4 linked regions of the Pelodiscus sinensis genome follow. The protein of the gene in region 4 interacts with the protein of the main gene of each other region in a pairwise test. Links are inferred from orthologs where the notes say so. Each region holds a gene or a part of one and is shown on either strand. Other genes may lie near its edges. The genes, in order: ABI3, EIF3D, PAX6 and HOMER3.

The links.
Region 1: the proteins of HOMER3 (region 4) and ABI3 interact in binary tests that used the Homo sapiens proteins (3 or more experiments, as listed by UniProt). The two-hybrid records come from large-scale screens. The link is inferred for Pelodiscus sinensis from reciprocal best matches to the Homo sapiens genes HOMER3 and ABI3.
Region 2: the proteins of HOMER3 (region 4) and EIF3D interact in binary tests that used the Homo sapiens proteins (3 or more experiments, as listed by UniProt). The two-hybrid records come from large-scale screens. The link is inferred for Pelodiscus sinensis from reciprocal best matches to the Homo sapiens genes HOMER3 and EIF3D.
Region 3: the proteins of HOMER3 (region 4) and PAX6 interact in binary tests that used the Homo sapiens proteins (3 or more experiments, as listed by UniProt). The link is inferred for Pelodiscus sinensis from reciprocal best matches to the Homo sapiens genes HOMER3 and PAX6.

What each region holds. Positions count from the first base shown.
Region 1 is NC_134739.1:14,541,772-14,549,556, reverse strand, and holds the start of ABI3 (ABI gene family member 3), read right to left. Parts: upstream 3,008-7,785; 5' UTR 2,661-3,007; coding exon 2,553-2,660; intron 1,079-2,552; exon of another isoform or gene 1-1,078. UniProt on the Homo sapiens protein: May inhibit tumor metastasis. In vitro, reduces cell motility.
Region 2 is NC_134711.1:93,328,373-93,335,741, reverse strand, and holds the start of EIF3D (eukaryotic translation initiation factor 3 subunit D), read right to left. Parts: upstream 3,001-7,369; 5' UTR 2,847-3,000; intron 1,909-2,846; 5' UTR 1,898-1,908; coding exon 1,775-1,897; intron 1,364-1,774; coding exon 1,318-1,363; intron 207-1,317; coding exon 70-206; intron 1-69. UniProt on the Homo sapiens protein: mRNA cap-binding component of the eukaryotic translation initiation factor 3 (eIF-3) complex, a complex required for several steps in the initiation of protein synthesis of a specialized repertoire of mRNAs.
Region 3 is NC_134714.1:97,376,822-97,384,153, reverse strand, and holds the start of PAX6 (paired box protein Pax-6), read left to right. Parts: upstream 1-4,329; 5' UTR 4,330-4,445; intron 4,446-7,332. UniProt on the Homo sapiens protein: Transcription factor with important functions in the development of the eye, nose, central nervous system and pancreas. Required for the differentiation of pancreatic islet alpha cells.
Region 4 is NC_134729.1:19,308,420-19,316,243, reverse strand, and holds the start of HOMER3 (homer protein homolog 3), read right to left. Parts: upstream 3,007-7,824; 5' UTR 2,387-3,006; coding exon of another isoform or gene 2,382-2,386; intron 1-2,381. UniProt on the Homo sapiens protein: Postsynaptic density scaffolding protein. Binds and cross-links cytoplasmic regions of GRM1, GRM5, ITPR1, DNM3, RYR1, RYR2, SHANK1 and SHANK3.

The sequences.
Region 1 (7,785 bases), on a different chromosome or scaffold from region 4:
CCTGTCACTGTCTGCCTGAAACGGCACCGCCCTGCCCTGGGCGGGAGGACACAGGCGACCATCAGTCCCCGTTGGCCAGCGGCGGCGTGGGGCTGGTCCCCGAAGATTAGAGAGAGGCGGGAGTGGGGTGGGAGGGGGAATCTTGCACGGGACCCAATCTCGGGTGCAGCAGGAGCCAAACTGCCCTTCCCAGCTCTGTGCAGCTTGATAACGCGCCTCTATGGTGCCGGAGAAGGTGCTGCCTCGCCCGCCTTGCCCGGCTGTTGTCGCAGGCAGGGAGGCCAGAGCGTTGTCCCTCGGGAGGGGGAAACACACCTAGGCTGGCTCCACACTCCGGCCTCGGGTGGCGCGACGGGTGGCACTCGGGGGGTGACTAGTCCACCTTTGTGGGCCCGGCGCTACGTCCGCGGGCGAGCGGCTTCTGCCAACAGACCATGCCTTCGCCCCGGTCCCCACCCAGCCGTGCGTACAGATGTGGCCCTAGAACCCTGCATTGGGGCAGGAGGAAACGGAGCCTCCTTTGCAGCATGATGTGGAGGGCGCTGCGGGGACTGGCCATTGACTTGCATGGGCTTTGGATCCAGCTGTAAAACCTCATCTCCTTTAGGAACTGAGGCCCTGCAAGGTGCCTTCTCCAGCTAAGCAGGGGCGGGTTAGCTTCATGCGCGCTTGGGAACCGGCCCACAGCCGAGCCGTCTGGCAGGGGCGCTGCGCCGTCACAGTGCTGGCTCAGCCCGGGCTGGGGGCGCAAAACCAAGCTGCTGGCCAGATGTGGGCATCCAAAATGTGCTTCTGTCCTGGCCCTTTTCCCAACACTGTCTTGCTGGGCATGGAAATTCCAACAGGTCGCGGCGCGATTCTTCTTTGTGCCCTGGCGGGCTGGGCAGGGCTGGCTGTGTTCCACCCCAGAAGTGGCTGCATCTCAGAGGGAGGAGTTTCATCCCTCCCCTCTGGAGTTCAGACAGCTCTTTGGAGCCCTCTTGGACGAGGGGGGGCAGGCACGCTGGACTTCGACTCCGGGCACTGGGATTCAACTCCTGCTTCTGCCATCTGAGCGTGGAGCCCAGACCTTCCCAGGGTAATTAGGCACCTCACGTCCATGGGAATCAAAGGGAGTGCGGTTCCTAAATCCCTTTGAGAATTGGGACCTGGATCTCTGTACCTCGGCCCCCCTCCTGTACAATCAGGACCCTGCTCCCCTGGTGTATTTGGGTTGTAACCTCTTCGGTAGAGCAGCCACCAGCAGGGAGCCCTGCTCTCAGCTCTCACGGGCCAAGGAAATAAGATCCGGTTGCGGGACTGCGCTCCCACCCCGTCGGGCAAGGGGAGGCGGTGGGTTTCCAGCGCCGGGCGCTCAGAGCAGGGAATGACGCCGCAGGTTGGGCGGGAAGCAGTCACACCAGACAGCCGCTCACCCCAGAACTAGCTCGGAACATTCTCGCGGGGACCAAGCGGGGAGCCGAGGCTGCTGCTCGTGCCCCTGGGAGGTTCTGCTATTTCACAGGTGCAGACTTTCAGCGCCGACCTCTGCGTTTCCTGACACATGTCACCACGCGGAACAACCCCCCCCCCCACGGAAGTGTCCTATCTCCCCGCCTCCCGCCCCACTTGTACCTGAGGAACTGGGCAGGCGTCCCCGTTAACGCCCTGTGCGGAGGGCTAGAAATGAACGAGGGGAAACCTTGTTAGGGTTGATCTGATCTTTACTGGCACAGAGCCCAGCGCTTTGGGGGGAGCTAGCGGATAGATACCGCATGTGGAGACACAAGATCCCAGGTCCAACCGGGATTCTGCCACCCACAACCCCGGTGGCCTTGGGCACGTCACTTCATCTGCTTATGCTTTAGTTCCCCCTCTACTTGGAGCTCATTGGACTGTAAGGAGGATGCAGGAGCTACCTGCCCCGGGGCTTGGCGTCGCTCTGCAAAGACCTGCCTTTCCCGTGAGCGAGCCAGGGCCCAGGGAAGAGAAGGCAGGCGCCAGGTGGACACTTGCAAGTCAAGTTGAAGATCAGGTTCCCCTTAGGGTCGGATCTGAGTTAAGACTGCACCTCCCCCCAGAACACGGCCACAGTCAGACACGGTTACTCGGCCCTCTGAGCTTACAGGCAGCGCACGCAGGACAGACGGACACCGCGGCACAACGGACGGAGCGATTTCTCGCAGGCTGCATCTACACTGCACGGCTATTTTGGGAGATTTTTTGAAATAACGGGCGCTATAAGGGAAGGTGCGACAGAGCCTCTTATTTCGAACTTCGGCGCCGTGGAGACGGGCCAGATTTCAAAATTGCCTATTTCGAAATAAGAGGCGCGATGTGCAAGTCTGATCCCAGTGCAGGGGGCTGTGTGGACGGGGCCAAAAGCCAAGTTCGGCGTGTGGGGCGCTAGCCACTAGGCCGTACTGCCTCCCCAAAGGCAAGATCATTTTCTGTCCTTCCCTTTCTACTGGGCAGAGCCGGCCCAGCTGCCCCTTTGCGGAGCCTTCATGCCCCTAAGTGTGAGATGCCCGGGATCTCGGCACCTGGCCGGCCCAGCCGCGGGCCCCGCCTACCTGCAGGTAGTTGCTCTCGCAGTAGTCGGCCAGCCTGTGCAGGTTGCTGTAGTTGTCCCGCAGGACTTGCCTGGCCGCGGGGATTTCATGCTGCTGCCGCTCGGCCATGCTGCGCGCCGCTTCCTCCTGCGCGCCAGCGGCTCCCCAGGCAGCCCGGGCGCTGCGCTGCGCTCATTGGCGGGCGGGGCGCGCAGTCCCACCCCGCTGCGCACCTGCCCCTCTGCGCCACCGGGGGGCCCCAGCCTGCCCCGGCCACTCGCCCCGCCAGCCCGGGGGCCGCTTCGGAGGGACCCGGCTTTCAGCGCCCGCTGGGATCCGTGCGCCCCCCTTCCCGTGCGCACTCGGGAAACTTAGGAACGGCCCGGAGAGGAAACGTGGCTCCCACGCGCTGTGGGGCGCGGGGCGCAGCTGGCCCGGGGGGAGCTGGTGTCAGACCCTGCGGTGATCCTCCGGGGGAAGGGGTGGGGGGAAGAGGGGCCGTCCGGGCGGGGTTTGCCAGCCGCAGGGGAAGCGCTGGGGGCGGCCGAGGAAAGCCACAGCGAGAGGGGACGTGAGTCATGGCAGAAGAACAAGGGGCGCTGGAAACAGAAACATTCCAAGAAAGTCCCAGCGGCCAGGGAGCTAAACTGTCCCGCAACGGGCTCCCGGGCGGCCACGCGTGTCCGCGCCCACGTGTACAGCCGAAGCTGGCTGCTGTGCTTGGGGTGAAGCTGCGACTCCCCGGTAGCCCAGCGACCAGGGCCGACGTATCCAGTAGGCTCAGTGCCTGGGCCCCGCGATACTTTTAGGGGCCCACGAAAATGTTTTAATTTCTTTTAAAATCAGAAGGAAAAAAAACCTTTTAGGGTCGAAGAAAGGCTACGTCTGCATCGCGGCTTCTTGCGGGAGTAATATGCAAATGAGGCTAAGCGTGGAATATCGCCCAGCCTCATTTGCATACCTAATGAGCCACCATTTTTTTCAGAAGAGGCTCTTGCGCAAGAAAAACCCTCGGCTGCGTCTAGATTGCACCCTCTTTTCGTAAAAGGGATGCAAATTAGACGTATCGCAATTGCTAATGAAGCGGGGATTTAAATCTCCCCCGCTTCATTAGCATAAAAATGGCTGCCGCTTTTTTTCGGCACGAAGCTTTGCTGGAAAATAGCGCCAGTCTAGACACGGATCTTTCGGAAAATAAAGCCTTTTCCAAAAGGCCCTCTTAAAATAAGGGATAAGGGAGCTTTCAGAAAAGGCTTTATTTTCCGAAAGATCCGCGTCTAGACTGGCGCTTTTTTCCGGCAAAGCTCCGTGCTGAGGGATGCAATCTAGACATAGCCCCCTTGCGCAACGCCGTTACACCTATTACTTGACAGGAAGAACGGCGTTGCGCAAAAGGGTTTTTCTTGCGCAAGGAGGGGCAGTGTAGACGCTTCTTGCGCAAGAGCCTCTTCTGAAAAAATGGTGGCTCATTAGGTATGCAAATGAGGCTCGGCGATATTCCACGCTTAGCCTCATTTGCATATTACTTGCGCAAGAAGCCGCGAGTGGGAACATAGTCAAAATGTTTTAATATTTTTCTCACATCAGAAAAAAATGAAACTTTTAGGGCCCACGAAAATCGATTCAATTTTGCCTAAAACAGAAAAAAAAATGTTGAAGTATTTAAAGTTATATCAAAAATCATTTTTACAATTGATATTATTATGGGGGGGGGCCCACGAAGGCAAAGGTGCCTATGGCCCACCAAAGTCATAATGCGGCTCTGCCATCGACAGGGTCAAATCCCGGCCCCACGGCACGCGGTGAGTGGGGAGTGTGACCGAGTCGGGCTACCGGGGAGCAGTGGAGGGGAAATCTATTAGCCCCGGATTAAATAGGTCTCTGTTCCCAGCCTAGACTAACGAGGGCTGATCCAGAACCAGCAGGAACCTGCTAGAATCAGTCAGCGCAATCAGGCCAATGAAAACACTTAGCACCAAGCAGGAGGCTTCCAGACTCACAGGGGCCGGACTGAGGCTGGTTTAAAAGGGCTTTTTCCTTCTGCTTGCTCTGCTGCGAGGAGGGAGCTGAGGAGAGTGAGGGGCGGGGGAGGCTGGGAGGAGAAAGCGCAGGTGGGTACCAGGGTGGAAGGGCGTGGCCCGTGGGGAAGTGGCCTGTGGATTTGTAGCGGTTACCAGAGACGTTCCAGACAGCGGCTGCTGCGGGGGCCCTGGGCCGGAGCCTGCGGTAAAGGACAGGCCCGGTTCTCGCCAGCAGCTCCCCATTGTACGACTAGGAAGAACCGGTTTGGGTGCACGCAGGGCTGGATCAAGCCATTCCGGCGCCCCGGGCAGATAGTTCAATTGTGCCCTGGGTTGGGGGAGGGTGCATGCGCGGCCTCGCCCCCGTGCTGGTGTGCGGGGGAGGGTGCATGCATGGTCCCGCCCCCGCCCAGCACGAGGGGGAGGGCACGTGGAGCTGGCGGCGGCAGGATGCACGTGCCCGGCCCGGCCCAGCCTGGCTACTGCTGCTGGTGCGCAGCCCGGGGCCGCCTGGGGCGGGACGAGCCTGGCCGTGCAGGGCCCCACAGCCATGCGGGTAATGGCGTTGCTGGCCGGCGCCGTGGGGGTTAACGCAGCCCCTGCCCTGGGAGCCGGCTGTGTGGCGCCTGATGGCAGCTCTAAGGGGTGCCACGCGCCCGGCTGCACAGCGCCCCTCACAGCTGCCATCCAGCGCCCCCCATAGGTTGGCACCTGGGGCAGCTGCCTGGCTAGCTCATGCCTTAATCCGGCCCTGGGTGCAAGGGTTTGTCCTCCCTGCACTCCCGGGAGGGGCAGCAAAGACGAGGAAGTTTGGTTTCCCCTCTTCCCCGTGCTGGCCTGCGATGGGAGTCTCCACAAACAGCGAGCCGGTGTCTGAAGGGAGGCAAGTCAACCCCCGAGAGCTCAGGCCCCAGGTGGAGGGGGAGCTTTGTCGCAGGAGTTAGGGACGAAATCCGCTAGGACGTGGCTTCCTCCTGCTTGGCGGGACCCAGGTTTCCAGCAGAGGCGGGCCCGGGCCAACCCTCCGATCTAACCCGCGCTGAGCCGGGACAGTTCACACTGGGCCACGGACTCCTCTCGGCCGGCCAGAGCTCACGGAGGGGCTGGCAGTGCCCTCACGCTGCCCCGCAGCCGCCCCGCCGCGGAGCCACACGCAGCCCCAGCCTGGGTATCGTCCAGTCCACGGTACGATGTGCAGCGGGGGGGGAGGGGTTTCCATCCCAGCCCCTCTGGGCAGATCAAAGGGCAGCTCGGCCCAGCTGGAGAGTCTCCCAATGCGAGCACTTGCCAGTAGACACAGAGGCCGGGTTCATCTGCCCCTGCGCCGCCAGCTCCCCCAGCTCCGCCCTTCTCCATTTGGCCGATGGCCCGGGGGGGGGTAGCCAATCTGCACTTGAGAGATGCTCCTAGGCTGCTCCAATCAGACGTCGTTCTAGCAAGGACCTCCAAGAGTCGAAAGCCCAGCCCTGACCGTCTTCCCCCAGCCTCCACCCATGGGGATTCCCCGGATGCTGCTCCAGAGCTCCCTCCCCCGAGAGCCAGCAAATGTTCCTTGCGTCTAACCCAGCCCTGCGGCTGCGGCGTGAGCCCTATTCCAGGGGATGGGGGAGCCCCGGGGCACCAGGCTTGTGACGACAGCCTCGCCCTCGCCAGAGCTGAAGCCTGTTGTCAAGTCCCCCCCAGGACCAAACCTCTCCAGGCGTTGGAACCGTCCCACCCACGTCAGGTTTTCGAAACATTTTCTCATTTTTGTTGCTCCCCTCTGGACTCTCCTCAACCGGTCCATGGTCTCCCCACGGCGCCAGGCCCAGACCCGGCCACGGAATAGCAAAGGAGGCCTCCCCAGAGCAGGGCAATTACCCGCCACGTCTCACGTACACCGGGCCTGTAAATACGCCCCACAACGATCTTCGGATTGTTCACAGCTGCATCCCCCTCCTCACTCCCAGCCAATCTGTGTTTCACTAGACGCCCCGGTTCCTTCCCTCCTCCCCCGCCATTGTCATCCTTTGGGTTTTCCCCTTTGCTCTGCAGAGACGGCGAACGAGGCTGCCGAGGCGGGTTATGTGGGGGGGAGACGGCGAACGAGGCAGCCGAGGCGGGTTGTGTGAGGGGGGAGACGGCGAACGAGGCTGCCGAGGCAGGTTGTGTGGGGGGGAGACGGTGAACGAGGCAGCCGAGGCGGGTTGTGTGAGGGGGGAGACGGCGAACGAGGCAGCCGAGGTGGGTTGTGTGAGGGGGGAGACGGCGAACGAGGCTGCCGAGGTGGGTTATGTGGGGGGGAGGCGGCAAACGAGGCAGCCGAGGCGGGTTGTGTGAGGGGGGAGACGGCGAACGAGGCTGCCGAGGCAGGTTGTGGGGGGGGGAGACGGTGAACGAGGCTGCCGAGGCGGGTTGTGTGAGGGGGGAGATGGCCAACGAGGCTGTTGAGGCGGGTTGTCTCAGGGGGAGACGGTGAACGAGGCTGCCGAGGCGGGTTGTGTGAGGGGGAGACGGCGAACGAGGCTGCCGAGGCGGGTTGTGTGAGGGGGGAGATGGCCAACGAGGCTGTTGAGGCGGGTTGTCTCAGGGGGAGACGGTGAACGAGGCTGCCGAGGCGGGTTGTCTCTGAGGGGGAGACGGTGAACGAGGCTGCCGAGGCGGGTTGTCTCTGAGGGGGAGATGGCGAACGAGGCTGTCGAGGCGGGTTGTGTGAGGGGGAGACGGCGAACGAGGCTGCCGAGGCGGGTTGTCTCTGAGGGGGAGACGGCGAATGAGGCTGCCGAGGCGGGTTGTCTCTGAGGGGGAGACGGTGAACGAGGCTGCCGAGGCGGGTTGTCTCTGAGGGGGAGACGGCGAACGAGGCTGCCGAGGCGGGTTGTCTCTGAGGGGGAGACGGTGAACGAGGCTGCCGAGGCGGGTTGTCTCTGAGGGGGAGATGGCGAACGAGGCTGTCGAGGCGGGTTGTGTGAGGGGGAGACAGCGAACGAGGCTGCCGAGGCGGGTTGTCTCTGAGGGGGAGACGGCGAACGAGGCTGCCGAGGCGGGTTGTCTCTGAGGGGGAGATGGCGAACGAGGCTGTCGAGGCGGGTTGTCTCTGAGGGGGAGACGGCGAACGAGGCTGCCGAGGCGGGTTGTCTCTGAGGGGGAGATGGCGAACGAGGCTGTCGAGGCGGGTGGTGTGAGGGGGAGATGGCGAACGAGGCTGCCGAGGCGGGTTGTCTCTGAGGGGGAGACGGCGAACGAGGCTGCCG
Region 2 (7,369 bases), on a different chromosome or scaffold from region 4:
TTGGTTATAAGCAAAATCTTTACAGCAATTTTACTGCTTCAGAAAGGTTTCAGGAAATGTGCAAGGTACCTGTGCAAATCTCATACGATTCCTTTGGTATGCCGTCTTCTGTGTACGTGCTGTGTCCACAAGCTGGAAGCTGGTCTCATCCTCCTCATGAAAATATGCATACTGGCTCCCCCCGCCAAATTGTGATGAGTACTTATCTGAGGACACAATGACCCAAATTACCTTGTTGCTGGTCTGCAAACGATGCCTCATGACATGAGCGCAGAGTTAGCCCTCTTACCCTGTCACTTGGCTCACCCCCGCTTGAAACTACAGCTAGGGCTTTTCCCTTAGAAAAGCCTGGGAGCTAGGGGGTGAGGCTTCCATCCTTGTACCATGTCACAAGGAAGCTCAAAGCCAGAAGCAACCCCAAGGATAGAGAGGATCTCAAGTGCCTCTCTCTCCAAGGGTAGGGCACACTTCTGAGTTAAAGAGACAAAGATGAGGGAGGGAAGCAGGCATGACTAATGTTCTCTCTAATTTTTCCCAACCCTGAGCGGAACGAATGTTATGTTCACCAATATGGAAGTGATGTGTGGCACATCGTCTGCATATTGGTGTTCATAACGAAATTCATGTATTGAGGGTGGGGCTGAAGGGTTGGTAGTGTGGGACAGGATTCAGGCCAGGGCAGAATGTCGGGGTGCAGGAGTGTTAGGACTATGGCTGGGAGTTTGGGCTCTCAGGTAAGGCTGGGGATAAGCAGCTTAGGGCTTGTTCACCAACAGAAAGAGAGTTGGGGTGCAAGAGCTCTGACGGGGGGTGCAGGCTCTGGGATGGAGTAAGGGAAAAGGGACTTAGGGCTTCAGCAGAAGGCTGGAGTGCAGGGGTGTGAGGGCTCTAGATAAGGGTCCATCTAGACCCTTGAGGTTTGGCTGGGTTTGGGAGGGATTCAAAGTGGAGGGTGCTCCGGGGCTACTTCATTGAGAGACGACTCTCCCGGCTCTCTCTTCTTGCAGCAGCATCTGGGCTGGGAGAGTAGGACAGCACCTCTCCTGGCAACGGCATAGCAGGAGGTGGGGTGGGCTGCTGTAGTATAATTGGGGCTGGTTCAGGACTGGACAGACCCAGCAGGTTGGCACAAAAGCTAAACTGGGCCTGGGATGGCCCTTCCCCAGCTGCTGCAGGGCCTTCCTAGAGACCTTGTGTAGTGCTAAATAGGGACATGCGTGACCGCTTGGCCATGCAGTTTACAGGAAACTTAGAAGATGGTTAAGAAACCTCATATGAAGTATCTTAGCAAAGAGCAGCCACCAACATAGCACTTACTTGTGTATCTCTTGTCCTGGTAAGTGGCTCCTGTCCAGTCTGCAACCTAATAAAAAAGACAACAGAAACAAACTTGTTGAGCGTGTGTCATCCAACATCTTATACTCTCTTTTGCTCCACAATCTCTTAATTCACTCAGCCACTCAGCAACAGCAAACAGTGCTTTCTATTCCAGAGTCACACTTACAATCATCTTATAACAATCAATATTCTTTCAAACTTCTTGCTTTGCTTATGCACACTATCAAGAGGTCTTGGTTCATACAACACCTGCAACAGGGATAAGGAAGCTATAGGGAGTGGAGCACCAATGTGTGTGTAGAGGCATTATTAGGAACAGTATAGGACTAAGACAGCAAATATGATAAGAACAGCTAACAGGAATTTCCAAGTAGCCTAACATATGGGCATTAACTGATTACTCCAGTGATTTATTTAGTAGTGTTAGCACAGGTACCTTTCCCAGACGATCCCCTTTGCTGAAGGGCTGATATGGCATATCTTTGAACTGCTCTGGAACAGCACATGGACCCCACCCGGAGGGGTTGTCCTGGATCACAGGCGTCATGAATTTAGCCATCTTCTAAAATCCTTGGGAAAAAAAATGGGGTGGAGGTAGTTCAAGTGTTTGGAACATTTTAACTCTACAAAACTGCTGGGAAACTTCATTGGATACTAATGAGCAATGACAACCATTCAAAAGACAATAGGTGGTACCACTTTTAATGGCCACAAACACAGAGAAAAGTTCGTAGGGCTAGGATCATTTCCCAGAATTTCTGGGGTTAAGGAAAAGGTGAAGGTGTCAGCTCTAACAGCACTGTCGGTATGCAATAGAATAATTACTTTCCTGTGTACGAATCTCCTGAACTGAACTGTTAGACAAAACTGAACAAGACAAGTGCCTGTCTGTGACCAATATAAAAAGCCCTGGAAAAAGGTTTCATATCTCTCTTTACTGTGCATAATAGCACAATTACTTCCCAGATGGATTTTTCTTTCAGACCACACCCATGCCTTTATGCTTGAGGATCTACTATTTTTATACTTATTGTCCTAGCTAGCATCTGTGAAGCAGCTATTCTTATTCCCAAAAATATCTAATCCTGTGTCATCAAGACCCAGCTCCTCAAAGGGATTTAGGCCCTTCTCACTCAAATCAGGAGGTGCTAAGCTCCGAAACACCCTCCAGGACCTGGGCCTACGTGCTCGGCCATGTGTAGATCCGGCAGCAGCGAGTACCGCAGGTTGGAGACAAGCCGTGAGCCAGCAGGGCCCGGCTGTGAGGCTGCGGGAGCCGCGCCTGGGAAACAGGGGCCAGCCGAGGGGACGGGCGAGCAGCCCAGGGGGGGAGCCGGGCCCGGGCCCAGACAGGGTAGAAGCCGCGCGCTCCCGCCCCGGCAGGCCCGGCGAGGCGGTGTCTGGCCTGGACGTCCCGTGGCCAAGGCGGATCCGGGCCCCACAGACTCCAAGTCGCGCGCGCGGCCGCGCGGGCCTGTTCCGGCCGGAGCCCTGCGCGCGCCCCTCACCTGTGCGGGCCCAGCCGGGTCCCGATGGAGGCGGATGCGGGTCGGGGGGGGGTGAAGGCTGCGGGAGAACCTTAGCTAGGGTTACACGCCGGCGCGCACCGCCCGCCACGTCATCACCCCGCGCCGCCCCCGGACGCATCGTCGTAAAAGCAAAACAGGGCTATTCCGCCCTGTGGGGGAGGCGAGCGAGTTGCCGTAAAGCACCAAAGTGGGGGAGGAGAGCGAGTTGCCGTAAAGCACCAAAGTCCGCTCCCCCCGGCTGCCGCAAGGAGGCCGGGTCGGGCCTGGCTCCGCTGCTGGGGCTAAGCGAGCACCCGGGTGGTTGGGGGCAGGGCCGGTCGAAGGCCCCACGAGTGTGGAGCCGCCTCATCCTTGTGCCTCGGGGCCGCTGCTGCAACCGCGCCCGGCCTGTCCGCAGCGCGCTCCGAGAGGCTCCTGCGGGGTGAAGCGGGGCGGCAGCCCAGGGTGCGGGGCGAGCCCGTTCAAACGGGTCCCGGCGGTGGGTTTGGGTTACACGCGGCGCCCGCGGCGGGGCCTGGGGATGGCGCTTTTCGCATCTCTGGCTGCCGTGGCTGGACGTGAACTGCCGCAGGAATTCGCTCATTGGGGTGGGTGAGCGGGGCTCCTCCAGGCTGCCAGCTGGGGCTGTTCTACATTTCAGAGAGGGAGCCTGCGCTAGTTCTTATCCGCTAATCGAATAGTCGATGGAAATCAATTAGTTAATCAATATTTAACGTCCCTAGTAAGAACGGCCATACTGGATCAGACCACTAGTCCGTCTTCTGGCAGTGGCTATTGTCAGGTGCTTTGGAGGCAATGAACAGAAGAGGGCAACGTCTAGTGATCCATCCCTTGTTGCCTAGTCTCACCCTCTAAGCAGTTGGATGTTTAGGGATATTTGGACCATTTTGGCTAATAGCCATTGATGAACCTATCATTAACGTATCTAGTTATATTTTTTTTAACCTAGTTGTAATTTTGGCCTTCACAACTTCCTGTTCCACAGGTTGACTGTGCCTTGGGTGAAGTACTTTCCTGTTTTTTTTTAAAAACCTGTTGCCTATTATTTTTGTACCCTAGTTGTGCTGTCTGAGGGGTAAATAACACTTCCTTCCTGAATTTTTTCACAGCACTCATGATATAGATCTCTATCATTTCCCACCTTAGTTGCCTTTTCTCAGTAAAACAGTCCTCACTTTAAAAATCTCTCCTATGGAAACTGTTCCATATTTTTAATACTTTTGATTGCCCTTGTTTGCACCTTTTTAAATTGTAATATATCTTTTTTGAGATGTGATCAGAATTGCACACAGTATCTAAAGTATGGGTGTATTATGGATTTATATAGTGGCATTATAGTATTTTCTGTTTTTAATTTCAATCCCTTTCATAATAGTTCCTGACATTATTAGCTTTTTTTAATTGTTACTGCGCACTTAGAAGATATTTTCAGAGAGCTATCCACAGTGACTCCAAAAGGATAATTTCGATTCCCTCCATTTTGTCTGTATAGTTGGGATTATTTTTTCTAATGTGCATTACTTTGTGCTTATCAACAATTAATTTCATCTGCCATTTTGTTACTCAGCTGCCCAGTTTAGTGAAATCCCTTTGTAATGCTTTACAGTCAGCTTAACTTTTTATTCATTTTATATCTACAAATTTTGCCACTTCACTGTTCACTCTGTTTTCCAGATTTACAATTATGTTAAACAGCATTGGCCCCAGTACATACTCGTGGAGGACCTTGCCATTTACATCGCTCCCTTCTTAAAACTGATCATTTATTCCTATCACTTGTTTCCTGTCTTTTAGCCATTTAACTGATCCACGAAAATACTTTCCCTTTTATCCCACAACTGCTTAGTTTAATAGCTTTTGATGAGAGACCTTGTCAAAAAGGATTTCTGAAAGTTCAAGTACACTATATATAATTGGATTAGCCCTGTCCAAATGCTTGTAGACACCCTCAAAACATTCTAGTAGATGGGTGAGGTATGCCTTACCCAGAGCAGTTCTATTACTTCAGAGGACATATGTGGCTCTCTTTTCTCTCCCAGTCTTACCTGCTGAAAGGAGGGGAGAATCACCACATGGTATAAAACCCAATGTTTATGTTGTGCAGAATTTGGGATTATATTTTGTTTTACTAGGTTATCCGTGTATCCCTTGTTTTAGCAATGAAGTTTATTTAAGTCATCCTTTCCCTCTCTTAGTTACCTAAAACAAAATACTTGGGTGTCTGGCTTTTGCATGGTGTTCTAGTAGTAAATTAATCCCTTACATTCTTCATTATCTCTAAGATATTTGGTACTTTATCTGGTCAGCACTCATCTAAACCTCTGATCTCAAGAAGATTGCTTTTTGCACTGAGGTTTTTGTTTATAATATCCAGGGCATCTTTTTCTGTCTAAAATCAAACAGCAAAGAATGCTGATCCAACCTGCTTAGTAAATTAAATATTTGCAATTATATAGTGTTCTTTATCTAATTATCTCAAAGTGCTTTACAAATAAAAATTAGGCTTAAAAAATGTCCCTACTAGGAAGGGTAAATATTACCCACATGTTACAAATAAAGAAAATTGAGGTATAGACATTTTCCAGTAGTTCACACAGTAAATCTCTGGCATAGTGAGGAACAAAATGCCCATCTCTAGACTATATGGCTACGTCTAGACTGGCATGATTTTATGCAAATTCTTTTAACGGAAAAGTTTTTCAGTTAAAAGCATTTGTGGAAAAGAGCATCTAGATTGGCACGGATGCTTTTCCGCAAAAGCACTTTTTGTGGAAAAGCGTCCATGTCAATCTAGACATGATTTAGTGCAAGAAAGCCCTGATTGCCATTTTCACCATCGGGGCTTTTTTGCGCAAAACAGTTTTTAGGTGTCTACATTGGCCCTCTTGTGCAAAAACATTTCCGGAAAAGGGCTTTTGCCCGAATGGGAACATCAAAGCATTTGCGCAAGAAGCACTGATTTCGGACAGTAGAACATCAGTGCTTTTGCGCAAAATCAAGCGGCCAGTGTAGACAGCTGGCAAGTTTTTCCGCAAAACTTGCCAGTCTAGACACAGTCGATGTGTATTGGGCACTATTTGTTGCAGTCCTGTCAGTCCCAGGATATTATAGAGGTAATATTTGTTACTGAACATTTCTGTTGGTGAACAAGACAAGCTTTCTTAAGCCAAGACCCAAAAAAGCTCTGTGTAAAGTTGAAAGCTTGTTTTTCTTACCAATAGAAGTTAGTCCAATAAAATATATTACTACGCCCACCTTATTTGTCTCTGTGTGTGTATCAGTCAGGGCAGCATAGATGGATAGGAATGATGGTCTAGAGTAGTTTTTCTCAATAATTTGGGGTTGATGACCCCTTATTTGAAGGAAAAAAATTCTGTGACCCTTTAACATTTATTATAAAAGATAAATAATAATGCCAAACCTATTTAGTTAGTTTTTTGTGTGTCTGGAGAGGTTGACAAAATACTTGAAGGGTAAGTATGTGCAAGAAGAGGAGCAAAATTTTCTTTGCTTTAGGAAAAAATTTTGAAATAACGGGCACGCTGTTAAGATGCAGAAAACACTATTTTGGGATACTGGATGTATCCTGAAATAGTGCTGCTGTTTAGACGTACCCTCAGAGGCATACAAAGTTTCTCCCATACTTAATCCATGACTGCTAAATCCTTCCAGAAGAGATAGAACAAATGCTACTTAAAACCCACAATATCCCCTCATCAGCCACCAGTAAGATATAATATGCCTATAGAAATATACCCTATAAAATACAAGCAATCAGTAATTGTAGTAGACCAACAATCAAGCGGTCTTCACATTAGGGATGTTAAAGGTTAACCAGGATGTTAAAGGCTTACCAGCATGCTTACTGATTAACCAGAGCGCCCCCCGCCTATGGCGGCCCAGCATCAGGGCTGTTGGGCCCATTGCAGCCCCTGTCACCAAGTCACAGCCATGGTGGGGGTAGAATGGCCCCTTCCACTCACAGCTGCTGTGAGCGGGGACGAGAGCAGCCCCCACGACCTGCAGCCAGTGTTTAACTAGTTAAACAACTTGTTTAACTGGTTAACTATTCTGGGTGGTTTTTTCATCCCTACTTAACATGATAAATGCAATGGGCAGATCCAGGGATTTCAGTATGTTAGTAGTAACCCATTAACAGTTTGGTAGGAGCCGCACCAAGCCAATTTCAGTTGTGCCATAGCAACTTTAATTACATACATTCTCTTGACTCTCCTAATGCACCTGATGAAGACAATGAGATTTTTGCCACTGACTTGACTAGCAGCAGGCCCTAAGACCCTATGCAAGTGGCCTGGTAGTAACATAGTCTATAACTAAGTTTTTTTTTTATTCCTCTTAGGGATGAATTAATACATTTTACCTGACAATATTGTGGGTTCAAGTAGGATATTATTGGGCTGACATTCTGCATAGGAGAGGGGATAGTGAAAGGAGCAAAGGCTCAAGATCCAAAGCAGAAAGACTAGGTGAGAAGTGGATCA
Region 3 (7,332 bases), on a different chromosome or scaffold from region 4:
ATCCTCACAGAGTCTTGCTAGAACGAGTGTAAGATTTGAAGAAGTTTAAAAAATATGAGGCCACATAGTAGATGCTTTATACTAATCTTACCCGTTGCCCAGCGTACAGAAATAGAATTCTTCCGACTGCTCTGAAGCCCTTTAGATCGGATTCTATACTCAGCGTGGTGAAGTAACTCCGATTTCTAAGTAGTCACACACCCACACACGCCATTTTAATACTATTTTGAATCCTTTAAAAAACAACAGGGGGACTATCCATTTTCTATTGAATTGCAGCAAAACTGAATTTCCAGGATGAAAAAAAAAGCAAATGACATTTGTACATCGCTCAAAGGTTAAACGCAATCCTGTCTGGAAAAAAAACTACCTCACACCATTTGAACTGCCGAGTGATGGTCGGAAAAGCCCGCTACACGCAAAGTATTTAAAAACACGTACCTTGGACAAGGGGAATAGATCCCAGCTAACATGCTAGTCAAGTGTCTCTTTCCTTGGAAGCGAAGCCACATTTCTACCCACGATCTTTTTCCCCCCTGGTCTACGAGGTTGCTGATGGTTTTTACCGTTTATTGTAGCTAGCCGGGGACCCTGCCGTCTATGCAATGCCACAGTAAACAAATTGTTCTGATGTGCTTATTATTATTGCTCAAGTTCTGCTTGGATAGAGAATTAAAGCTCATTATTACAGAGTGTGTTGTGAATTGCTCAATCTGTGGGAACACCGGGGTTTGGGGCATCCTTAAAACCCCTTCCTGCCGCAGTGTAAATCAAATGTGTATCATGCTTATAAATGGGTAACACGTTGCTGTCTCTCTGCCCTCGCCCGAGCCACAGTGGCTGTCACAGCGCTCAGGGATACCGCCCGGCAGCGCGCAGCGAGCAGCTAGCGGGTTCGCTGCAAGGCTGCTCCCTCCACGTCCATCCGCGCTCTGCGCCCTCGCTGGAGCCTCTGCCTCGTTGGCGTGTGGCTCTCTGCAAAAGGGCTTCGGCTGCTCCTGGCTGGGGCCGGGTCCCCGCACAAGCCCGGACCCAGACGAGCCCCGCTCAGTCCACAAGAGGCGTCCCGCTTTCCCAGGGCACAATTATCTGCCCGAGAAAAAACTGGCGCAACCGTTTCCACGCAGGGTGCTGGCTGGGCTCACTCGCTGCCGCTGGCTTGCGCGCTGCGGGGCTGGCCACTCCCTGGGCTTCGTGGCAGACCGCCAGTCAGCCTGCCCCTCCGGGCCCCTCACGCGTGGTGCGCGGTGGTGAAAACACGAGGGGTTCACCAGGCCACCGACACGTGCCATGGTTGTGCGGTGGGCTGCGTGCCCCGCTGCGGAGGGGTTAGGCATTGCCCCCAGCCCCAGGGGCAGGGCGGGGAGCGAAGCGAGCCCGGGATCCCGCTCGCGGAAACCCGCCGCCGGTCCCGCCCGCATCGCGGCCCACGCGAGGCTGCCTGGGCGCAGGCTGCGGTTGCCGCCTGGACTTTGTGGCCCTGCACACTGCGGGGATCCCAAAGCCAAGGGCGGGCCCGTGCGCCTGGCTCAGTCCGTCCCTCCCTTCCGCCCCTTGGCGAGCGCTCGGAAGGCAAACAGAGCCACGCTCGGGTGTTGGCCGGGGGACTGTTTGTCTGCCTGCGCCAGGGCCCGGCCAAGCAGACTTGGCTTCACGCCTGATGGGTTTCTGGAGAGCGGCGCGCTTTGGAGAGCAGGGGAGGCAGCACCTGGCCCTGCGCTAGGAGCCATCTCCTTTTATTGACAGCCAGATAAGCAGGCGGCAGCCGTGGTGTTTCCAGCGCTTCCTTCGAGAACCCTGCTGGGTTGCAGGGATCCGGAGTCCCTTAATAGCAGCGACTCCAAACAATCCGTGAAACACCTTCCTGACAGCCCGCGCCCGGCCTCGCCTTTCCACGCGGGCAGCATTAGCCGCTCGCTAACCCGCACTAGGGCCCCTCCGCCCGGTGGCAAAGTGAGCAAACAGACGCCTGGGCGGAGGGGGAGCCGTCCAAACAGAACCCAAATTGTGTGTGAACGGGGGCCGACGGCCTCCCGATGCCGAGCGACGCTTGGCACAGCCGAGAAGCGCTGCTCCCCCCGCCGCCTCCCCACCCTCGTCTTCGACATGTTGCCCCACGCTTAGCATGCGAGCCCTCGTTTTCCAGGGCATTCGCAACTCAGCCTCACGCTGAGCAAATCCCTGGGCCAAAGGAAGGGCGGAGAGGCTTCGCGTTGCCTACCCCCCAAATGGCATCCAAATATTGGCTTTTGGAAACATGGCCGATCGGCAAAGAAACCTAATTCAAACGGGCAAAAAAACGCTCTCGCCCAGGGGAAAGTCCGCATTATAACCAATATCCCGATAGCCTGGTTCCAACTGCGTAGATCCGATACAGGAACATTGTCTGCAAAGCTAGCCACTAAAAACCGATTGCAAATATACTGTCCAGAGGAGAACTATACCCAATATTTTGTTAGGTAGAGAAGGGACGTAGTGAAAAGAATCTGGGTACTTTGTAATAAAAAAACAAATCCCTTTCAAAGACTACCTCCCATGGAACTAGCAATCCCCGACAAATCAAAGACAGAATGCAGGTTCATGAAACATTTACGTTCAGTTCCATAAAACCGTCGACTAGGCTGTACCTCTTTTCTGATCAATTATTTACCTCGACAACTGTGTGCAAATAATGGTATTTCTGTCTTTAATGGGACAGGAGGCAGATAAGAGGAAAACCTAGCGGAATAAGTACAAAGAAGGCTCCCTGAATAACCACGGAACCTTTTTTATCTTTTCTTCAAGATTTAAAGTAAAATTCGTGGTGCGGTCATTTCCAAAAGCTATTTTAATAAGACAAGCATTGATTACTGCCGTTTTGCCAAGAGCCAGTCGATGACAAGAGAAAATGCCCAATGCTGTGACAATGTAGAGCAAGTCAATGTCACCATAATCCATGCATTGTAATACGTTTTAATAGTTAGAGTAAGAAAAGAACCACACCTGTATGCTGTAGAAGTAATCGTTCGCTATTTGCCAGCCCCAGATACAGATGTTAGACATTCTGTTTATCACATAACCGCCGAACAGTGCGGTCTCTGTTCTCCCCAAATGGTTAATTACATTACAACGGATTTTGCCTTTTGAACCTAGTTTTTAAAAAGACCAACTGGAAGGTGGAGATAGACAGCAAGCAGTTCCTGCTGGTAAAAGTTCTCGAAAAGCGATTGGTAAAGCATTTGAAGAAAGTGTTCTCCCCTCTCTGTCCTTCGCACCTCAGTCTGAAACAGGGCATTTATGAACTCATTTTTAAACGTTCAAGGAAAAAGTCAAAACTCAGCATGAGTTCCTTCTTCTGAAGCAGTTAAAATGTATTGACACCCGCTTGATAATAAACCAACCCATTTTTCTACTTAACTTTGCAAACATGTATTTTTAAATACCGCTCTGCTGCTTAATAAAGACTGGCTGGAGTAGGGGTTCATAATCTTATTCCTGCACTGCAATAATCCTAGTAGCCAACCACAAATAAACATTTTATTTTCTACCTGACTGGACCTACTCAGTACACGAAATCCGAGACGCAATAGCATCAATGGACTTTTAGTGATAACTGGGGGACTGGATCTTTTCTGACCTGTGCAAGGCAGGCACAGGGGCCACCCGAAAGGAGGGTGAAGTTACCTTAAAGTTTTGGAGCGTGGCAGAGAAAGGGGTAGCTCTCTCTAATCGTTCACAAGGGTCTGATAGATCAGTTGCCACCGCAACTTGTGCTGTGAAACAGCCTGTCTTGCAAGTAACACTTCAGGTGGCAGGCTGAGTTAGGAAGACAAGCGTGCCTTTGGAAAAGATGGGGAGAGGGGGAATAACCACGCACGACCATAAGGTACTAAAGGTGAGGCCACAAGAAAAGACGGGAAAGTGCAGCAAGGTGAACTTGGATATTCGAAAGTCTGGCCATCCTGCTGTAGCTAGCTCCGTAGCCTACGGCTGCTACTAACTACAGCTGCAGGAACCCCCGGAAAAGGTATTTTACAGTGTAATACAGCATGCACTGTGTGCCTTGCAAGCTGGGAATGCAATGCCACTGGTGAGCATTAATATTTCCATAGAATAATATGGTGCCTTAAATACTCCCCGGATTCAGGAGGAGCAGGCAGTGGGGGAAAGGGTTTAGGCCCTATATGCCCGTTGTTATCTAAAATTTCTTATTAGCTCAGCTCTAACTACTGTCCTCCATGACGTCACCGCGGCCGCCCAGCCAATAGGGGAGGCGCTGGCGTTGATATTAAGGGAAAGTTAGTGCAAAGCAAGACACCCTCTTTTTTACTGTCATTGACATTTAAACTGTGTGGCAGATTCTTATGTAGAAATTGGCGATCAAACCTGCCAGTTATCTACAATCGGCAAGGTAATAGTGTGGGAATCGGCAGGTCAGGTTCATCTGTCTGCACTCTCTGTTCCAGGTAACATTTTATACTCCTTTTCTACAGTCATTACTAGTGCCACTGGCTTGCTCTGAAAATAATAATCCGACCCTCTCTCTCTCGCTGAATCTTTTGCCTGCTTTGCTGTGTCTGTGTTCCTCTGTTTGTCTTTGAAATGGGCCGAGTACAGGGACTGTTTTAAAGTTGTGCTCTTTTCTGGTACTTACAAAATACATCAGTGTCTATATTAGCTGGCCTGAGAATGAAGTCTCGCATATTTGGGCGGAAGACTTTTGCTCCTGTTCACCGCTGGTTGCGAACACGGCCACTTCTGGTGCAACTCAGTTATTCGTGTAGGCTTCATCACTCTGTATCCGTTTTCTCGCCTTTTGTGTAGGTTTTTTGTAACGTTTTGCAAACCCCACTCTACAACAGGTGGGGAGGGGATGCCCCTTGTGATCTCGAGCAATTAACTCGTCTGTTTGGAAACTGAGTCTGAAACTTTCCACGCTTCCGGGGAGTGTGGGTACTTGAGCGGCCGGGCGCTATCAATATTTGATTCGCTTCTCGGAGTTCAGCTAGAAATGCAAGAATGCGGCTCACGGCGTTGGGTAGCCTTTTAAATCTCCCGACCGTGTGATCTGCGCTTTGCTCGGGAAGACCTGATCATTAGCGATTTGCACTGAGGTAGAACGGCGGGGACTCAAGTTACACTAAGCCCGGTCACACCCTGCCCTCGCTTCCAGGCCGGCTGTGGCCACAGCGAGCCCCGGGCCCTTGGCGAGTTTGATAAGTTACAGGGCGCAGCGCAGGAAACCGCGAATCCTTAGAAACTGGCTGGCTGGTTCTCAGGCGAGCCCGGTCCCGGTGCCTTGCGTGCGCTGCGAGGTGTGTTTCACACTCAGGCTGTGCAGGTGTGTCGATCCAGACAGCCCTGCTCAGCCATGCCGTGCATGCACATGCGTGTCATTCCACACACGCACTCCCAAAGCCGCCCTGCTATTTCCTTCCACAGCGAATCAGCCTCAGAAGCTAACACGGGACGGTTTTAAAGTTTCAGCGTAGGTTGGGGGGCGAAGTTTCCACGCTACCCCTGTAAGTGAACGGACCGATTTTGGTTTGCATGTTGTCTGGGGGCGGGTGGGGGGGGGGATTCAGTGTTCAGTCGCATTTTCTAACGCCCCCACGGAAGCGCAGTTTTATTTGGAAATGAGAGCTAAAAGTGGTCTAGCTGGAGGCAGGAGGGGAGGGGGAAGTGGGCTGCACACTTCAAATGTTTCGCCTTTTTGCCTTTGAGTCTAGTTCCTCCGCTTTATACTTTCGAGATCTGATTGGGAGCTGTTCCGAGGGGTAGCTACTTTGGCTAGCCCGAATTCGTGAGCGCACGGAAGTTCTGTAGAACCTGTGAATGGAAACAGACCCTAACTCACAATCGCAATCTTTCCTTGGTAATTTCTGCGGTGTGCACTAACGAGGGGGCGAAAGGGAAAGAGGGAAATCCCTCTACTGTAGGTAGACAAGTGTAGGGAGCTCACGAGAGCTTTTCAAAAAACTCAAAATGGAAATCCGGAAACACAATTGACCTACCCTCCCTGTTTTCCTAATATTCCTCAAGGTACTCTAGCAGGAAGGTTCGCGGCAGTGCCTCCCTCTGATACACCGATAAATGGACATTCTCCTTCAGTAATAAATCAAACACCATCCATCTCAGATCCTCCTCCCTAATTAGAGATGTTTATTGGAGATTGTGTTTATCCAGCTGTCATGCCGAGAAAAAGCTGTGACATAATTACCTCTGACCAGATAGTCTTTTACATGCATATTTCATTGACATATAATGCGATTGGCTCGCATTAAAAATGACAAGATCAAATGTTGATTTTACCAGCTGTAATAATATTTCTGATTATTAAATTAATTGAAATGCATCTTTCAGATGGTCCAAATTCTGGTAACGGATTGTGAAATGAAAGCTTTGAGTCATTTATTTCATGGTGACATCAAATAATGGTGCGAGTGAAGAAATATGGGAAGTTACTCAAATAAAAGCTACTTGTTTTTAAAAGAGAATTAATCTTCAGTTAAATAAAACACTTTATATCAACCAAAGACGTACCTACACCATTTTCATGTTGTCACAGATCCCACCGATTTACCGTTTTGCTTCTAATCCAAAAGGCCTATCTATCTATCTATCTATCTATCCGCCCAAATTGTCTTAAATATCTCTAGTTCATATTAACAATGTCACTTTTAAAATGTGCCTCTAGCTGCGGGGAATAAGATCTTGATTCATTGGCTCCCTTAGCCTTGCCAGCGTTTGTGTAGCCATCTGTCTGTGTCTGTTAGGAAGTGATGATAAGCTACGAATTACTCTGTAATTGAAAATATATTTTGGGGGGGAACTGGTTTTACCAATATCAAGAGTGTAGGCTTTTTATCCGTTCTGCTGCCCGTGTTCTCCAGTCGCTAATAAAACTCAAATTGAGCTCCTTAGTGACTTGATTAACAGGCAGATTAACTGTTACGGGAGGTTTGAACAGCTTGTCCCAATCAATAGCATTTAAAATGCCCGTCAGGATGCGCTTAGCTCGCTCGCTCTCTCTAAAAATAGGCTTTTCTATCAGGTCCGTTTGCACGACATTTTTTCACATATAGAATCAAAGGCTGTCCCGTATGGAAACATGTGTGTTCGTCTTCCAGATTCAGAGACAGCAGCATGACTTCGTTAGGGTCCAGAAATACGTTTTTATTCTTGCACACAAAGCTGTGCTCTATGCAAAAGACCAACATAAAAGAGGTTAAATCGATTCCAAACTTTTTGCAGATTGTTTATAAACTAGAAAAGCTCCACTTAACTCAATGTCCTGTGCACTAGAGGTTTCAAGCACGGTTCCTGTGTATACAAATAGGCATTCAGTGTCCC
Region 4 (7,824 bases):
CATGGGAGTGAGTGAACAGGGTGTAGCTTGCTAACAACCCAATTTGCTCTGTCTCTGCAGGGCTCAGCCAGCGGGTCTTTAAGGGCCTGGCTGCTCTAGCCACTAGACCACATGCCCTTCCTGATCTGGGAGTGCTATCCAGGGAGTTCTGACTTCCAGCCTTTTGCTTTAACCAGAAGAGATACTGCCTCTTCTCTTCCGGCTCACAAGCTCTCTTAGCTCTGTAGCTCACTTCCGAGCCATCCTGCACACCACCACTTTGTGGGAATGCAATGGTGAGCTGAGTGGCCAGATGGGGTGCAGAGACACAGGACTTGCAGTCCTCCCTGCCTCCTCCCCGCAACCCGGCCCCATCCCTGTGGATGAATGGAGCAGCGCAGCCTGTCCCTCCTAGAAAGCTCCCACCCACTGTGGTGGTGAAATTAACCAGCAAAGCTCAGCATGAAGGTTGAAAGTGACTCTCTCCCAGCCTGTTTGTAGATAAAAGGCTCCGGAGGAATCCTGGCTGATTATGCCCCAGTCGGATTAGCCTGAGGAACACAATGCCAGGCATGCAAGTTCAGGCCTGGGGAAGGGAACCAGGGCACTTAAAGGCCCAGCAGCATTGCTAAGCATTTCTACCAGACACCTATTGCTAATGCTGCTCCAGTCTTTACCATCTGTGAACACTCCACTGGGCTCCACCACGTTTCTGCTCATGTGTCGTTGTACAACAGGGGCACACACATGGAAGCCTGCACAGCTCTGCCAATGCACTTTAGCTCTGACTTCACTGTTTTCAGCATTGCTCCTGGACAGCACTGGCAGGTCTCCCGAAACACGCCCAGCAGCCAACACTAAGCATTTCCGGAGCCTGTCCGATGCTAGTTTGAAATGTGGACCCAAATGCCCAGTATGGACACAGCTAGGAGGTAAATGAATTCACTTCTCCTGTGACCCAAGTGACATTTACAGCTAGCTATTTAAAGGTGAAAAGGCAATGCTTCAAAACCTACACACACCAGGGATATGTTAGAGTTCAGGAATGAATTATCCATGAAAGCTACACCCTGGATATTACTGGGACAAGGGTTACAAGGAAATCTGACCACATGAGGTGTTCAGAGTCAAAAGGGAGGGGGGTGGGAACGACTGACCGCTAGCTTAAAATACAAATCAACTAAAACTGACTGGTGGAAAATCATTTCAAAGCTACCGCTTTCCTACTCCCTTAGCAATCCAGGGGACTAAACCTGCTGCTGGTTATTCAACATTTCCATGTAAATCTATGCACAAGACAAAGACCTTCCAGCTCTGAAGTTCTCTGTGACAGAAAACCAGGCGGGGAGGAATGTCATCTGCACATGAACTATAGCATTGCTGCCTTGACGCTATCATTGTAGTAAAATCTAAAACTACCCTCACAATGACCGCAGCGTCAACATTATGCATGAGAAGTGGCACCCGTCTAAAGAAATTGCATAGCCACTGGGTGTAGCCACAGCAGTTGCAAGAAACAGGGGACTGTTTCTGATCTAACTTGGCCAAGTATAAATGCCACTGGCTTAAATAGATTTACTCTAGGTTCACACTGAGACTCTGAGATCAGAATCCGTATCTATGTCCCTCCTGCCATCTGAATCGGTTTCACCCTGTTCAGTCTTTTTATCCGGCTGCCCAAGAGAGAAATAAAAACCCAGCAAAAGAAACACAAACCACTAAACTGTTACTTATTTCTCCTCTAATGTCAAACTCAAAGGCTTGGAGAAATTGAACAGGCAGGGGCTTCCTCCAGCCCCAGCGTGCTTCTTAGCAGCCCAGAAGTGTTCATTACACAAGCAACTTACTCACAGCAGCATGCCAGATCCTTAAAATTACACAGTTGGGGTTATTACCAGTGCATAATCAAATATCAAGCTACATTTCCATTTCTATGCCAGTGCCTGATTGAATATATTTCACCCCGAAAGAATTTACGGGTTATGATCAGAGATTTTTCAGTCACACTATTTACCCACTTAGAAATGTAAGTTGGGTCCATTTTACTGAATACCGAGGTCACAAGAGCAAAACAAAATCAGAAATCTCTAACTTCTGGAAACATCTGCAAAGGCAGTAGGTCCTTTATGTCACCCCAAAGGGCCATTCTGAATTGTATACAACATATGCATTCCCCTGGAGACTTCCAGCCACATCCTGGGTCACAAAGTAATTTACAAATCTCTGCAACTATCTACATCCTGAATCCCGAAAGGTTAGGGGCCTTTTTTTATATGTAAACTTGAATTTCTTTACTGCAATTGGAAATCCTGATCTCTTCGACTCTGCTATATTAAAAACACACCACGTTTTATACATCATGAATACAATAAACAACACAACCACCAAACTGCTAATCTCACCCCATCTCCAAGTCGGTGTCAGGTTTTTTTTTCCTGGTCTCTTCTTGGATCGTGTTAGATTCACTCCACGTTTTTATTTATTTTTCCCTTCCTCTTCTCTTTCTCCGGATCCGGATGCTCTATAAATTTCCTCCGGAATTTCACTTTGAAATCCGCTAGTTTTGTTGTTTGAACAAAAATGACCTATAATCCCAAAGCATGCACGGGAGGGGTGACAGTTAGGGCAACCTTCCTGGGTGGGAGATCTCCCCACCAAGAGCTACAGCCCAGGAGATCCTAGAGAGAACTTTGGAACACACTTTGCTACGGAAATGTTGCAATCTCCGGCAGGCAGTTTCTTCCTCGATCTTGCTGACGGGGATCCCCTCTTCCCTTCAGCATGGGCAGCAGCCACAAGATTATTTGCTCCTTTTGCTAACCCTTTGCAATAATGCCGCCTCCCTCCTATTCCAGCGACGGAGTTGCTCTGTAAGTTTTTTCCACAGCCCGAAAAGTGAAGCTGTGTCCACAGTTTGTCTCTCTCGATCGCGATTTCTTTGTTCTCTCTCTCTCATTTTTTTATCCGCTTCCTGCCTCTGCCAACTGCCCCATCTCGGTCACATTTCTCTTTCTTTCTCCTGACTTTATTTCCAATGGGTTCCATCTGGCTCAGAGGCACCATCTGCTGGGCACAGCTGTACTGTGCACCCACAGTAACACCAAGCAGCTAAATTACCAGCACCACACAAAGATGCCCCAACCCCACTTCCCACCGCCTTCGTTCCTGGGCTTTCTTCCAGGGTTTGACCCCTATGCTGTAATCTGACACAGCCTCTGAGTTTGTCTAGACTAGGAGGGAAGTTGTTTGGTCAGCTAGTCCATGTTAAAATACAATTTGCTCTTTCTAGACTAGCATTTTCAAGCATGTTGGCACACGTTTTAAAAAACAAACCCGACACCTTTTATCTGAGCCTAGAGACAGAACCTTTCCGAAAGACAGTGCCTGATCCCACTATTGCTCTGTTCCTTGCACTGACATCTATAGCTGTGCAGGGCGAGTGCGAAACACTGGCATGTACATCTGGTTACATTTTACATCCACTTTGCACAGGTGAAAATAGCTGAACTAGGTTTGAAGCAATGAAGACAGAGGCCTCTAGAGAAAATGTATGAACAAAAGGGAAGGTTGGATGGATAAACACACCAGAATCTAGAGATGGAGACAGACAAACAGAAGCACTAGGCCCCAAGGATGCAAACAGATTAGACGGTATTAAAAATATCTTAATGCATATAATAAGTAGCTTAGCAGTTGCAGCAAACATACCTATTATGAGAATACTCAAGGCTTTAATCAGAACTGAGACGCTATTGTGCTGAGTGCTGTTCAAACACAATGGGCCAGACCCTCCCCAGGTGAAAGTCCACGGACTTCCCCAGCATTACACCAGGGATGAGCATAGCCCTATATAGTTGGATGATTATGTGCTCAGCTCTCTGGTGACTTGTACCTTTTGCAATCATTTGTGCCAGTGCAAAATGCTACCAGATTAGAAGGGCAACATTTTACATCCCCGTTACATAAGAACGGCCAGACTGGGTCAGACCAAAGGTCCATCTAGCCTTGTGTCCTGTCTTCCGACAGTGGCCAGTGTCAGATGCCCCAGAGGGAATGAACAGAACAGGTAATCCTCAAATGATCCCTCTCCTGTCATCCATTCCCAGCCCCTGACAAACAGAGGCTAGGGACACTGTCCCTGCCCATTCTGGCTAATAAATATTGATGGATTTATATCTAGTTCTTTTTTGAACTCTGTTAAAGTCCTGGTCTTCACAATATCCTCTGGCAAGGAGTTCCACAGGTTGACTGTGCGCTTCATGAAGAAAATTCCCTGTTTGCTTTTAACCTGCTACCTGTTAATTTAATTTGGTGACCCCTGTTCCTTTGTGCCACTGCAAATGATAAGACACAAAGCAGAGCAACACAGGGTATATATTTGTCTCCAAGTTGTTAATAAGGAACATACAGTTACAGTAAGTCTACATTATGTCAGCAAAATTTAAGGCACTGTTTTTCTGTCTTAGGGACCAACATAAATCAGTCAATCACATCTCGCCATGAACAGTACCAGCTACACTGGAGGTGGATGGGGTGGGGAGAATCAATGGTCTGTTGTAGATACTTTGCCCATTAAATTCTGGCAGCTACATTTGTACCTGGGTCTGAGTGTGTGAGCACATGCACTCACTAGAGCAGGCAACCGCTGTGCAAATGTTCACATTTACTGCAGCAAGACAGTATTCCTGGGCTTCTCCCCATCCCAATGAACACAGCTCTTCCAATCAGCCTTGATTTATAGCAATGCCACAAACAGGGCTCCCACAAAAGGCACTACCACGGTGTTTCAACCTCCCACTAGTCTAACAGCAGGCCTGACCTGAGCAGATTGGCTGTGGTGTTCAAATGTGTGGCTACTGCACGAGTCCAATCTCATTTTTTGCTTGTATTTTATTAGGTCGCCCACATTAATAAGGAAAAGAGTTTGCATTAATTCCAGGCAGTTCTGAACTTTACTTTCCATGCCCTCATAATTTCTGGGCACTGCAGGCTTGCACTATAATGATAAGCTGTGCCCATGTCATTTCCCCAGGAAACTCAGGAAAAGCAGCTGTTCTTTGAGCAGTATTTAGATGGAGCTTATATAAGGATGACAAACAGGAGGTTTTCCCTAGATAAGACTGTAAGCTCTTTGGGGCATGGGACTTTTTGTTATATTTGTGCAGAGTGCCTAGCATAATGTAGCCAGGTGCCTAATTCGGACCTTTAGATACTGCAACAGTACTGATGCTGGTCCCCTCCTCTCTCTATTATCCCCTCCACCTGCCTTTCAAATGTATCTAGAATCCTCATCCTTTGTCACCAGCATTCACAGTGCTGGGACAAAGCACGTGCCAGTGTTTTAACCATCACGTCAACTACAGCTAGACCTTTTCTGAGAAAAGTGAGATAATGCAATGCTTAAAATAGCAGTGCAAACCAATGATACCTCTATGCCAGAGCTCCCAACATTTGACACCAGTGGAGCTGAACAAGTGTTAGAACTGATGGGAACATTTTGAAATTTTGCAAGTGGACCCTTGAATAGTCACTGTCAGAAAGTTTGTGGCAACAGGTGAAAAGTTTCTGATGCCTCTCTTAACTTGAGCTGGCAGACTAACCAGCAGTTCCCAGACTGCCTCCTCTCTCAGGCCCAGAGCCAAGTTCAACACCAGGACATGAATGAATTGGGTCCTTACTCCTTCTACTCCATTTTCTCTGTCTTCATACACACAACCTGGCCACCAATGATAAAGGGACTACAATAAACCACTGAAGACTCTGCTGAAAGTAGGACACACAGTATTTTTCATACTGACCTGCTAACAGTAGGTTATCTCTGGCTCTTCTTAGAAGCTAATTATTTTACATGTTAAAATTAGGGTAATGAGATCAGCAGGAATTGCACTAAAATCAGGTGTTAGTAACCTTGTAAGGATGTCCTTTAACAGGGTTTTTGTTCCATTTGCGCCTTCTCCTGCTGAAGGAGGACAATTAATATCTTCTGCCCTTCAGAAGAGACCAGAAATTAGATATTTTGATCATCCCCCCTCATGTCATTAATTACCCAGCCATTGTCAAGTTTGCACCATTAATCTTCCCACAGCTCTTTAAACAGTGGCTGAGAACACAGACAAGAGCACACAACAGATCACTGCCTAAACTTAAAGGGTATTCTTAATGGCAGTATAATCCCTTTCAAAGCACATTCACTGTCCAAGATACATACCTTCAAACTAGTTCTTTACATTTCATTGCTACAATGGGTGACTGCAATCAGAGAGGACTTAGCATCACGGTTTTGCAGCAGCTCTTCAGCCTTCTCATTTTCAGTTCTACATTTTTTATGTAAAATCTTCTTACTCTCTAACTCCATTACTTAATAAAGGCTGATGGCTAGTCCCACCATTAGCTCTTTCCTTGAAAAGTGCAAACTGCTATTAATTAGCACCTGCAAAACTGCCAAATATAAATCTGGGAACATGAGCATTGTTGGATGTTTAGTAAATTTTAATAGCTGGCCACAATTGGTGTGCAAATAGAGGTCCTTGTTGTAAAATAGATGTTTTAGGGAATAAAAGATGCATTCAAAAGGAGAGATTGGCATTCTGCGTTAGTGTAAAAATACTTTAACCTGTAGTGTGAAGGAAGCTTTAAACAACAAATAATTTGGTCTTTTCTCTATGTAATTTATATAGGTCATTAGACTGCATTCACCTGGTTTCTAGACATCTTTTTCAATTATCTTTTTAAGCAGATGTGGTAGTGTGGCAGGAAAGAGCACCTGCCCAGGAGACGTGGGTTCAACCTAAGTCTGGAAACTTCTGCTGCTAAGGCAACTTGAGAACTGGAGAACGCAAACTGTATGGCTACGTCTAGACTGGCATGATTTTCCACAAATGCTTTTAACGGAAAAGTTTTTCCATTAAAAGCATTTGTGGAAAAGAGCGTCTAGATTGGCACGGACACTTTTGCACAAAAGCACTTTTTGCGGAAAAGCGTCCATGCCAATCTAGACGCGGTTTTGCGCAAGAAAGCCCTGATTGCCATTTTTGCCATCGGGACTTTTTTGCGCAAAACAGTTTTTAGCTGTCTACACAGGCCCTCTTGTGCAAGAGGGCTGTTTCCCGAACGGGAGCAGCATAGTGTTTGTGGAAGAACACTGACAATATTACATGAGATCATCAGTGTTCTTGCGCAAATTCAAGCGGCCAGTGTAGACAGCTGGCAAGTTTTTCTGCAAAAGCAGTTGCTTTTGAGGAAAAACTTGCCAGTCTAGATGCAGCCATATATATGTTTCGAAGGAGAAAAGGAAGCAGTAGAATTCAATCATTCTTTGCATGCCTCTGGCACCAGACAGAGAGAGCAAGAGAGCACAGCAATTTCTTTGGGTATTTCACTGCTGGAGAACTCAGACCGTTCTCCAAAGAAGGAGACTGAGACATTTTAGATGACATTTTAGAGACAGTTAAAGATATTTAACAAAGAGGGTTATGGTATCTGGATTTTGGACATGCTCTAAGGCACATAAACTTGCATCAGCAATAAAGTACATAAACTGGGTTATGATGCTGTTTGGGATAGGGAGAGATACCTTGTAAAGGTCACTAAAATATATTAGGAACTTAAGTTAGTGTGTGTACAATGCTTTGAAGATTTAAAAACTAAGATGAGAGAGAGAGAGATGAAAGCTTTGTGGCCAGTGGTGTGAGCATAGGAAGATCAGTTAGGAATTTCTAATCTCTAATCCACAGATCTGACACTGATTCCATCTGTGGCCATGAGCACATTGCTTAATCTTATTTGTATAATGGAGATCATACTTACTTCACGGGGACACTGGAAGATTTAATAAGGTGGCATTTG